2 separate regions of the Mus musculus genome follow, and region 2 is reported to be linked to region 1. The links are microRNA targets in miRTarBase. Many come from high-throughput screens and were not tested one by one. Region 1 holds a microRNA gene; the other region holds the end of a gene's coding sequence. Distances are between the middles of the regions.

Region 1 (4,067 bases):
CTTTTCTTCTTACTCTATAGCTCAGGCCCAGGATGGTGTGGGAATTTACTGTGTAACCCAGACGCTGACCCTGCCTCCTGCCTGAGCCTGCTAAGTGCTGGGGTTACAGGCGTGTATCACCCACCACCTAGTTCTCTGAGGAGGTGGAATCCAAGCTCTGGGCTCTGGGAAGGGCTCTACACACTGTGCTGCACACCACTGGACTGGAAAGCCAGTGTGTACTCTGGACCCCTGAACTGTCTTCCTTCATCTACAAGCTACTGCTTACTTCTATTGTTTGATATAAACCCCAGACATCACATCACTTCTGGATCAGCAGTTATGATTAATGTTCTAGCTTGTCTGATCTGTAGCTCTGAACTTACTCACAAAAGGGCTGGGTCTGCAGGGCAGTGGTGGCGCATGCCTTTAATCTCAGCACTTGGGAGGCAGAGGCAGGTCTGGTCACCCCAGAATTATACACCCCATTGTCTTTTGCTGTTTTCTGCTTCTAAGGCTAAATGTTTCTCCAGAGAGAACAATTACTTTTCATCTCTAGTTGGCACTTTAATGCTTTTAGTTCTAATAACCCATTATTTAGGTTAATAAAGAGATAAAAAATTGCTCCAGCAGGCTTACTCTTTTTTTTTTTTTTTTTTTTGGTTTTCCGAGACAGGGTTTCTCTGTGTAGCCCTGGCTGTCCTGGAACTCACTCTGCAGACCAGGCTGGCCTCGAACTCAGAAATCTGCCTGCCTCTGCCTCCCGAGTGCTGGGATTAAAGGCATGTGCCAACACCGCCCGGCAGGCTTACTCTTCAATGTGCGTTTCTATTCTTTCTGCTGGCACCCGACACACTATGTGCTCAGTTTGTTCTGTGTTGTTTGATTGATGAAATACACTCGAATCTTCACACATTTTTTTTTCCTCCTGTGGTTGGAATTGGATAGTTATTGTAACCAAAGGCTCCACAAAAAGCAATTTAAGGGAAGAAAATTTTATTTTGTCTCATGATTCAAGTGACCATGGGCAAAAAGACAAAAACCTTTATATTTTTTCCTTCCTTCCTTCCTTCCTTCCTTCCTTTTTCTGTAAAACACACACACAGAGATATGGGAGGTGTCCTTCAGGCATGTGGAGGTCAGGGGACAGCTTTTAGGAGTCTGTTTTCTCTCTGCACCTTTTTTGGGGGATGGAGTCTCTTCTGTTGCTTCTCACTGAGTAGTGCTCTGGCCTAGGTGGTCCGCAAGCTCTGCTGATTCTCCGTCTCCACTCTCCATCTCTTTCTGAGAGCACTGGGTTACCGTGGCACACCCTTGTACTCGAGTGGGTGCTGGGGATCAAACTGAGCTCAGTCAGGCTTGTGCACCCAATCAAGGCCAGTGCTTTAGACTGTCCTGCCGTCTGTCCATCTCAAGAGGGCATCTTCATTAAATGGCAAGAAATTAACATTGTGCTCATGAATAGAAACAAGTTTTTAGCTTGACATTTTAAATTTCTACAAATAATGCAGGCTTGACTGTGTCGTGTGTATAAGCCTTGTGTGTGGTGTTCAATACTGTGTAGCTACTACAGCTTCCCCTCAGAATGTAGACTGTTCTCTCTCTCTTTTCTTTTTTCTTCTTCTTTTTTACTTTTTCTTTTTTTTTTTTTTTTTACTTTTTACCTTCTTGAGACAGGGTTTCTCTGTGTGTTCCTGGCTGCCCTAGAACTCATTCTGTTGAGCAGGCTGGCCTCGAACTCACAGAGATCTGCCTGCCTCTACCTCCCAAGTGCTGGGATTAAAGGCGAGCGCCACCACAGCCCGGCTGCCTGGCAGATTTATTTATTTATTTATTTATTTATAACCTTGATCTCATGTTTAAGGTGATGTGTCCCAAACTCTCCACTGTGGGCATTATGTTTTCCTTTATGGTTGATAAATCTATCAAATGTATCAAAATAGGTGAATGTCCTGTCTTTGAAGCCTTCAATCTCAGCCTCCTCACTCCATCATTCCTTCTCCATTGCTTTGCTGTGTCCTATGGTAGGGAGAGCTGCCCCTCCAGTTGTCTGTGCTGCTCTGTCTACTTACAGGACATTTGGAGTCCTGGTTTATTTAGTGCATTAATAGCCTCTTATTATTATTATCATCATCACCACCACTATTGTAAAAATTCTTGGATTTACCCAGAGGAAGTTCCTCAAACTGTTTTTTTATTAATTTATTCTTTGACAATTTGATATATACACAGTGCATTCTGATTATTCTCCCTGTCTTCTCATCTTCCCCTCCAGTCCCTCTGACATGTTCATGTCTCTCTCTCTCTCTTTTTTAATATTACATGTTTTGCCTGAATGTACTCATGTGCCCCATGTGTGCCTGCTACCTGCAGAGGCCAGAAAAGGGCATTGGATGCTTGGAATTGCAGTTTGGATGGTTGTGAGCCCCATGTGGGTTCTCTACAAGAATAACAGGTGCTCTTAACCTCTGCACAACCCTCGAGCCCCTTCATGCCTTCTTGTTTTGCACCCCTTGAGTCTAACCACAGTGGTTCACGTGCCACTGGGTATAGAAGCATTCGCTGAAGTTGGTAGACTCACCCAGTGAACACACAATTGAAGGCAGTGACTGTCCCTGCCCCAGCAGCAGCCAGCACCAATAGTCCCCAAACCGGTTTCCTTGTCCTCTTGTACCATTCTTGGAAGATTTTCTTACCGTCTGGGACAGTGGCGTGTCTCAGGTGCATGCTACACTTCCCCTGCTCCAGTCCCCAAGCCCTGGACTGATCATTTTTCCAGCAAGTGCTGGCTATTCTTGTAGAAAAGAGAATCACTTATAGACATCAACATGAGCTCCAGTCTAGTGCACTGCTACTGAACCATGATTGCTTACTTCTGGGTTTCTCAGCAGAACTAAACACACACACACACACACACACACACACACACACACACACACACACCTTCATATGTTGGAAATCATGAATTCAAGCAGGGTACAATGGTTAACAGCTATATATTTATACTTCTGATACTTAGGAGATAGGCATGGGAATTTGGAATTTGAGGCCACTCTGGGCTACCTAGGTAAGAGTATATGTGAAAACAAGAGTATGTGTGTGATGGGGTGTAGTGGAGGAAAGGAGGGGCCCACATTATTTTGTGCTTCCAATTTCAGCAAACACAGCACTGCCTTCCATTCCCCGCCTCTCATATCTGCGCCCTCTTTTCTAACCACAAGCAACCTGCTTTCCATTACCTCAGGGTAATGAGTACTTAGTCCCATTACCTCAGGGTAATGAGTACTTAGTCCTAGATAGCAAGCTAGAACAGCCCTACCTGCCACTGGTAACTAACTCCTGTTTGCTTCCTCCCTTTGGTCTGGGGGTTTAAAGACAAAACATCCCTACTTCAAGTAATTCTGCCTTCCACACTCTTCAACTGACTGGCGCTCTCTTGAAATACATCTAGGTGATTTTCTGTTTGTTTGTTTGTTTTAAAGATTTATTTATTTTATGTATGTGAGTACAGGGTTGCTGTCTTCAGACACACCAGAAGAGGGCATCAGATTCCATGACAGATGGTTGTGAGCCACCATGTGGGTGCTGGGAATTGAACGAGGGACCTCTGGAAGAGCAGCCAGTGCTCTTAACCACTGAGCCATCTCTCCAGCCCCCATCTGAGTGTTTTTCATTGTGTCCCACACTGTGCCTCTCATTCTTCTGACTCTACAATTTTTTTTCTTGCACTTGTACATTTAGCAGAAATCCGTACTAAGTGAAAAGTTCACCCAGACACCAGTCAAACCCACAGATTCTGCCCACCTTGTAGTCACTGCTGGAGGCAGGAGGATTATGAATTCAAGGTTTTACTTAGCTACACAGAGGTTTGGAGCCCAGCCTAGGCTCTATGAGATCTTGTCCTAAAAACAACAATTAAAACAAAACCTGTGTGTTCTATATTCTGGGTATGTGTTTAGGGCTCTATTTCTGGCAGTTATAATATTTATATTATGTATAATATTATGTATAATATAAATATATAATGATTATGTAATTGAAAATGCTTTTAATATCAGGTTATAGAAGTCTTACTTAGTTTTACAGTT
Region 2 (4,067 bases), 35 Mb from region 1:
TGAAGGAGGCGAGGGCCGCAGGAACCAGCAGCAGCGCCGGTGCCATGGCGAGCAGCGCGGAGCCTGAGGAGAAGGCGGGCTCAGGGTTCCCGCGACTGCTGGCCCTGCCCAGGTCCCGCCTCCTTGGGGGTGCTGGCGGCAAGGCGGGGACCGCGAGCGGCGCGTCACAGCGCGGAGTTGGAATCCCAGGCGTCGTCAGGGCAGCTGGTCTGCGGCTACCCTTGTGGGTCGAATCTCAGCGCTGTCAGTGTTCTCGAGGAAAGTGAAGACAGAGCCTCCCTTGCGTGGAAACATAAAGAACATCTTGTTTTTAAAGATAATCACTCCTTATTCTCCAGCCTCAATCCCTGATGTGCTGGGGTTACAAACGGCGCCACCCCGCCCAACATAGATTTTTGTATAGTGACCGTTTTAGAGCTGGGTGTGGTGGCTCGTGCCTGTAATTCCAGTACTCGGAAGGGTGAGGCAGGAGAATTTGAAGTTAGCTTGGACTGCATATGGAGACCGGTTCCGAAAAAGCCATTAAAAAAAAAAAGAGAGAGAGAGAGACAAGGTCGGGAGATGGTGGCATATGGATCTCCAAGTTCCAGGCCAGCCTGGCCTATATAGTCAGTTCTAGGATAGCCAAAGGCTACACAGAGAAACCCTGTCTCTAAAACCAAAGACCGAGTAATGAAAGGCTCAATCACCATAGCTATCCAAGTACAGGGTCCTCAGAAGACAAGAGCTGATTCTCTCAGATTACAGATAGAGCAAGGGCAGGGAGGCTGGTTGCTCCCAAGACGTCTGGACCAAGTTCTAATGCATTGTATAGCACTTTTCCTCCCCACCCTGATCTCTGCTTGGGAAATGTATTGAGTGGGCTCCATCTGTGAATGTTTTTGAAGAAGTTCTGTACTTACATTTATTTTGCCTTTATGTGTATTGATGTTTTGCTTGCAACTATGTGAGTGTCAGATCTTGGAGTAACAGTGGTGAGCTGCCATGTGGGTGCTGGTATTTGAACCCAGGTCCTCTGGAAGAGCCCAGTACCCTCAACCACTGAGCTCTCTCCAGCCCCCACTTGGACTGCTCAAAAAAAAAAAAATGTATATATATTTTTAATGGCAGAATCTAGCCAGGTGGTGGTACACGCCTTAATGGCAGAATCTTCATGTAGCGCAAGATGGCTTCGAACTTGCTGTTATGTAGCTGAGAATCATCTTGAGCAGATCCTCTTGCCTCTGCCTCCAAGTGCTGGGATTATGGCCTAGCATCACATCCTGGCTCCACTGATCTTCTAGACACTGTGAAGTGGTCCCAGAAGAGCTTATAGGTGGGAAACAAGCAGTTGACTATGTGTGGTTTCTCTTTAACCTGTTTCCTCCTTAAATCATAATGCAAGCTCTAGGGAGGCAAATGCCTAAGGCTCACTGTCCATCCAGCCCAGCCTAAGGGTGCCCCATGTCCCAGTGAGATTCCCTATCTCAAAGAAAAACAAAGTGGCCCGAGGAAAGACATCCAAGGCTGACTTCTGGCCTCCACAGGCATCAAATGAACAATGGTCTAGGACTACTGCTTAGCGGTGAAGCTTTTGAGCAGCATTTCAGGAAGCCTTAGATTCAACCCCCGGCACCACCAAAAAAGAAAAACCTTAAAGATCAAGCATATAACTGGGGTGTGAATGAGTTGTAAAGCAATTGCCTGTCATGAGTTGGGCCTCATTTGTGCCAACCACCAATAGTTCTCTAAGCTTATACATAATTCACTGCAGGAAAATATAAAGTAAGCAACTTTTTTATTGAAGTGAAATTCATAAAGCAAAAAAAACCCAACCCTTTTATACATTAGTACTTAATATTCTGCATTATGTACAATCACTTCCTCTTTCTGATTCCAAGTCTTTCAACTCCCCACAGGGGAACACTAGACCCCTTGAACAGCTTCTGTGTACTCATGGTCTGGCAAGCATCAATTTGCTCTTACCTTTGTGAATTCACACCACACTTTATATATTATTATGCAGGTGGAATCAAACCTGTCCCTTTTGTCTCGCCCTTGTGTTAGGGTGTCTTTGACCACCTTCAAATACTGTGTTTTCACTTCATGTCTGAACATTGCTTTCTGTGCAGACAGTATATATGCTCATCCTTGCTGAACAAAAATCTTCAGCTTTTCTATATTTGGAAAGAGGTGAGGGGCTGGGAATAAGGTTTAGTGGTAGAGGCTTTGCCTAGCATGCATAAAGGAAGGAAGCTCCAGGTTCAAGCCCCAGCCCAACCAAAAAGATAAAACATCAAGTGCTTTTCATTTTTGAATCTTTTGCAGTTTAGACTGAGCTGACCTTGGGGGCGGAAAAACAAAACAAAAACCCAAAAATCCACGATGAGCTTGAACTTCTGATCCTACTAGCCTTTACAGGGACTGCTGGGATTACATACCAAATGCATGTTTAAAAGTTTTCTTTGCAGCCGGGCGTGGTGGCACACGCCTTTAATCCCAGCACTCGGGAGGCAGAGGCAGGCAGATTTCTGAGTTCAAGGCCAGCCTGGTCTACAAAGTGAGTTCCAGGACAGCCAGGGCTATACAGAGAAACCCTGTCTCGAAGAAACAAAACCAAACAAAACAGAGTTTTTTTTTGCTTACAGAACAGTCTTGCTGGGTCATAGAGTGACCAGGCAGGCACAACGAGCACTGACTCACCTTACACATGTCCAGAGAAAATGGCAAAAAACAAACCAAAAAAAATTTTTTCCTTCTCTTTCGAGACAGGATTTACTCTGTTAACAGCCCTGACTGTTCTAGAACTCACTCTGTAGCCCAGGCTGGCCTTGAAATCAGAGCTCTGCCTGCGTCTGCCTCCCGAGTGCGCCACCACGCCCGACTCTCACGCTGTAGCCCAGGCTGAACTGGCACTGGTGAGCTTCCTACTTCAGCCTCCTAAGCACTGGGGCTACAGGCAATGCCCACGGCTAGCTCTGCTTACTTTGAAATAACTTTGCTACTGTTTACTGCAGAGGACAAGCCAAACACCAGCAGTATTCATGAGTTCTACTTTCTCCACATCCTGGAAAGTAGCCAACTTTAAAAAACAAATACAATTTACTCTAAATTAATAATAATAATAAATGAAGTGCAAGTTCAAATCCATTGTGTCTCCACACAGAAACCTGCCACCAAGAAGGCAGAGTGAGCACTGAGCTACTGGAGATGACCACAGCTAACTGCCAACACTGCAAAGCAGAGCAAGTACAGCAAAACTAAAGCCTTTCCTAGCCACACCCATGAGCTACCCTCATCTTCTCAACCAAGCACTCCTGGGAGCTGCTTCATGTTGAGTAGAACCCCGGGAAGTAAAGAGAAAATGCTGGCTTCTGGACAGGAGGTAGAGTCAGGGCACTGAGCCTGGAGCAGCTTCCTCGGAGCACAGCTGGGCAGATGGCAGGTGCTCGGTAGAGAGCCATACCCAGCTCAGGTGAGCCAACTAAAAAACTGGCTATCTTAGGAAAAAAGTTCCCTTTTTTCCCCAAAACATTTTAGGCCTTATTCACATTCCCCAAACAGTTACGATGATACAATATACCTTAGGCCTTTGTGAAACCCTGAGGTTTGTTGTTTGATTTGGTTTTTGAGATGGGGTCTCATTATGTACCTCTGGCTAGCCCAGAACTCAGAAAAATATGATTACTTCTGCCTCCCAAGTGCTGAGATTAAAGGTGTGAACCACCTTGCCCCGTCTTAATTGTGTATGTGTGTGTTCCTTTTTCCAAGTGTTTTCTAGGACTGTTCGATGGTCTGAGAAGGTAAAGGTACATATTTTTTTAGGTAGATGACATTTCCAAATTGGAGAGAACAAAGGCCTCTGGTGTGGCTTCCTGCTTCAGCACTCCAGTCAGGAGGAACTCAGGAGAGAGGAGGGGTAGCCCCAGGCGGGATGGAATAGCACAGCGTGGTAGGTCTTCAGTGCAAGTTATGATGACTCGGTGAAGCTGTGAAGAGACAGCAAAGACGGTTAGGAAGGAACTTTGAAACAGATGCAGGACCCATTAAGCTGTTTCAGAACTGAACCTACACACACACAACACACT

What was found. The annotated mature microRNA mmu-miR-1195 reads UGAGUUCGAGGCCAGCCUGCUCA and lies in region 1 at 1,699-1,721, opposite strand. An mRNA with a match to its seed (bases 2 to 7 or 8) in the 3' UTR can be bound and repressed. Matches are read on the target gene's strand: a 7mer-m8 pairs with bases 2 to 8, a 7mer-A1 pairs with bases 2 to 7 and ends in A, and an 8mer does both.
Region 2: miRTarBase lists Mdc1 as a target of mmu-miR-1195. Seed matches in the 3' UTR shown: 7mer-A1 at 3,025-3,031, 7mer-A1 at 2,541-2,547 and 7mer-A1 at 2,512-2,518.

What each region holds. Positions count from the first base shown.
Region 1 is chr17:70,858,860-70,862,926 of GRCm38, forward strand. Mir1195 (microRNA 1195) reads right to left here and starts at 1,741; the gene lies at 1,644-1,741.
Region 2 is chr17:35,857,364-35,861,430 of GRCm38, reverse strand. Mdc1 (mediator of DNA damage checkpoint 1) reads right to left here. Exons shown (of 16, transcript NM_001010833.2): 16 at 1,761-3,968. The coding sequence ends at 3,801. Nrm (nurim (nuclear envelope membrane protein)) reads right to left here and starts at 113. Exons shown (of 4, transcript NM_134122.2): 1 at 1-113. The coding sequence starts at 46.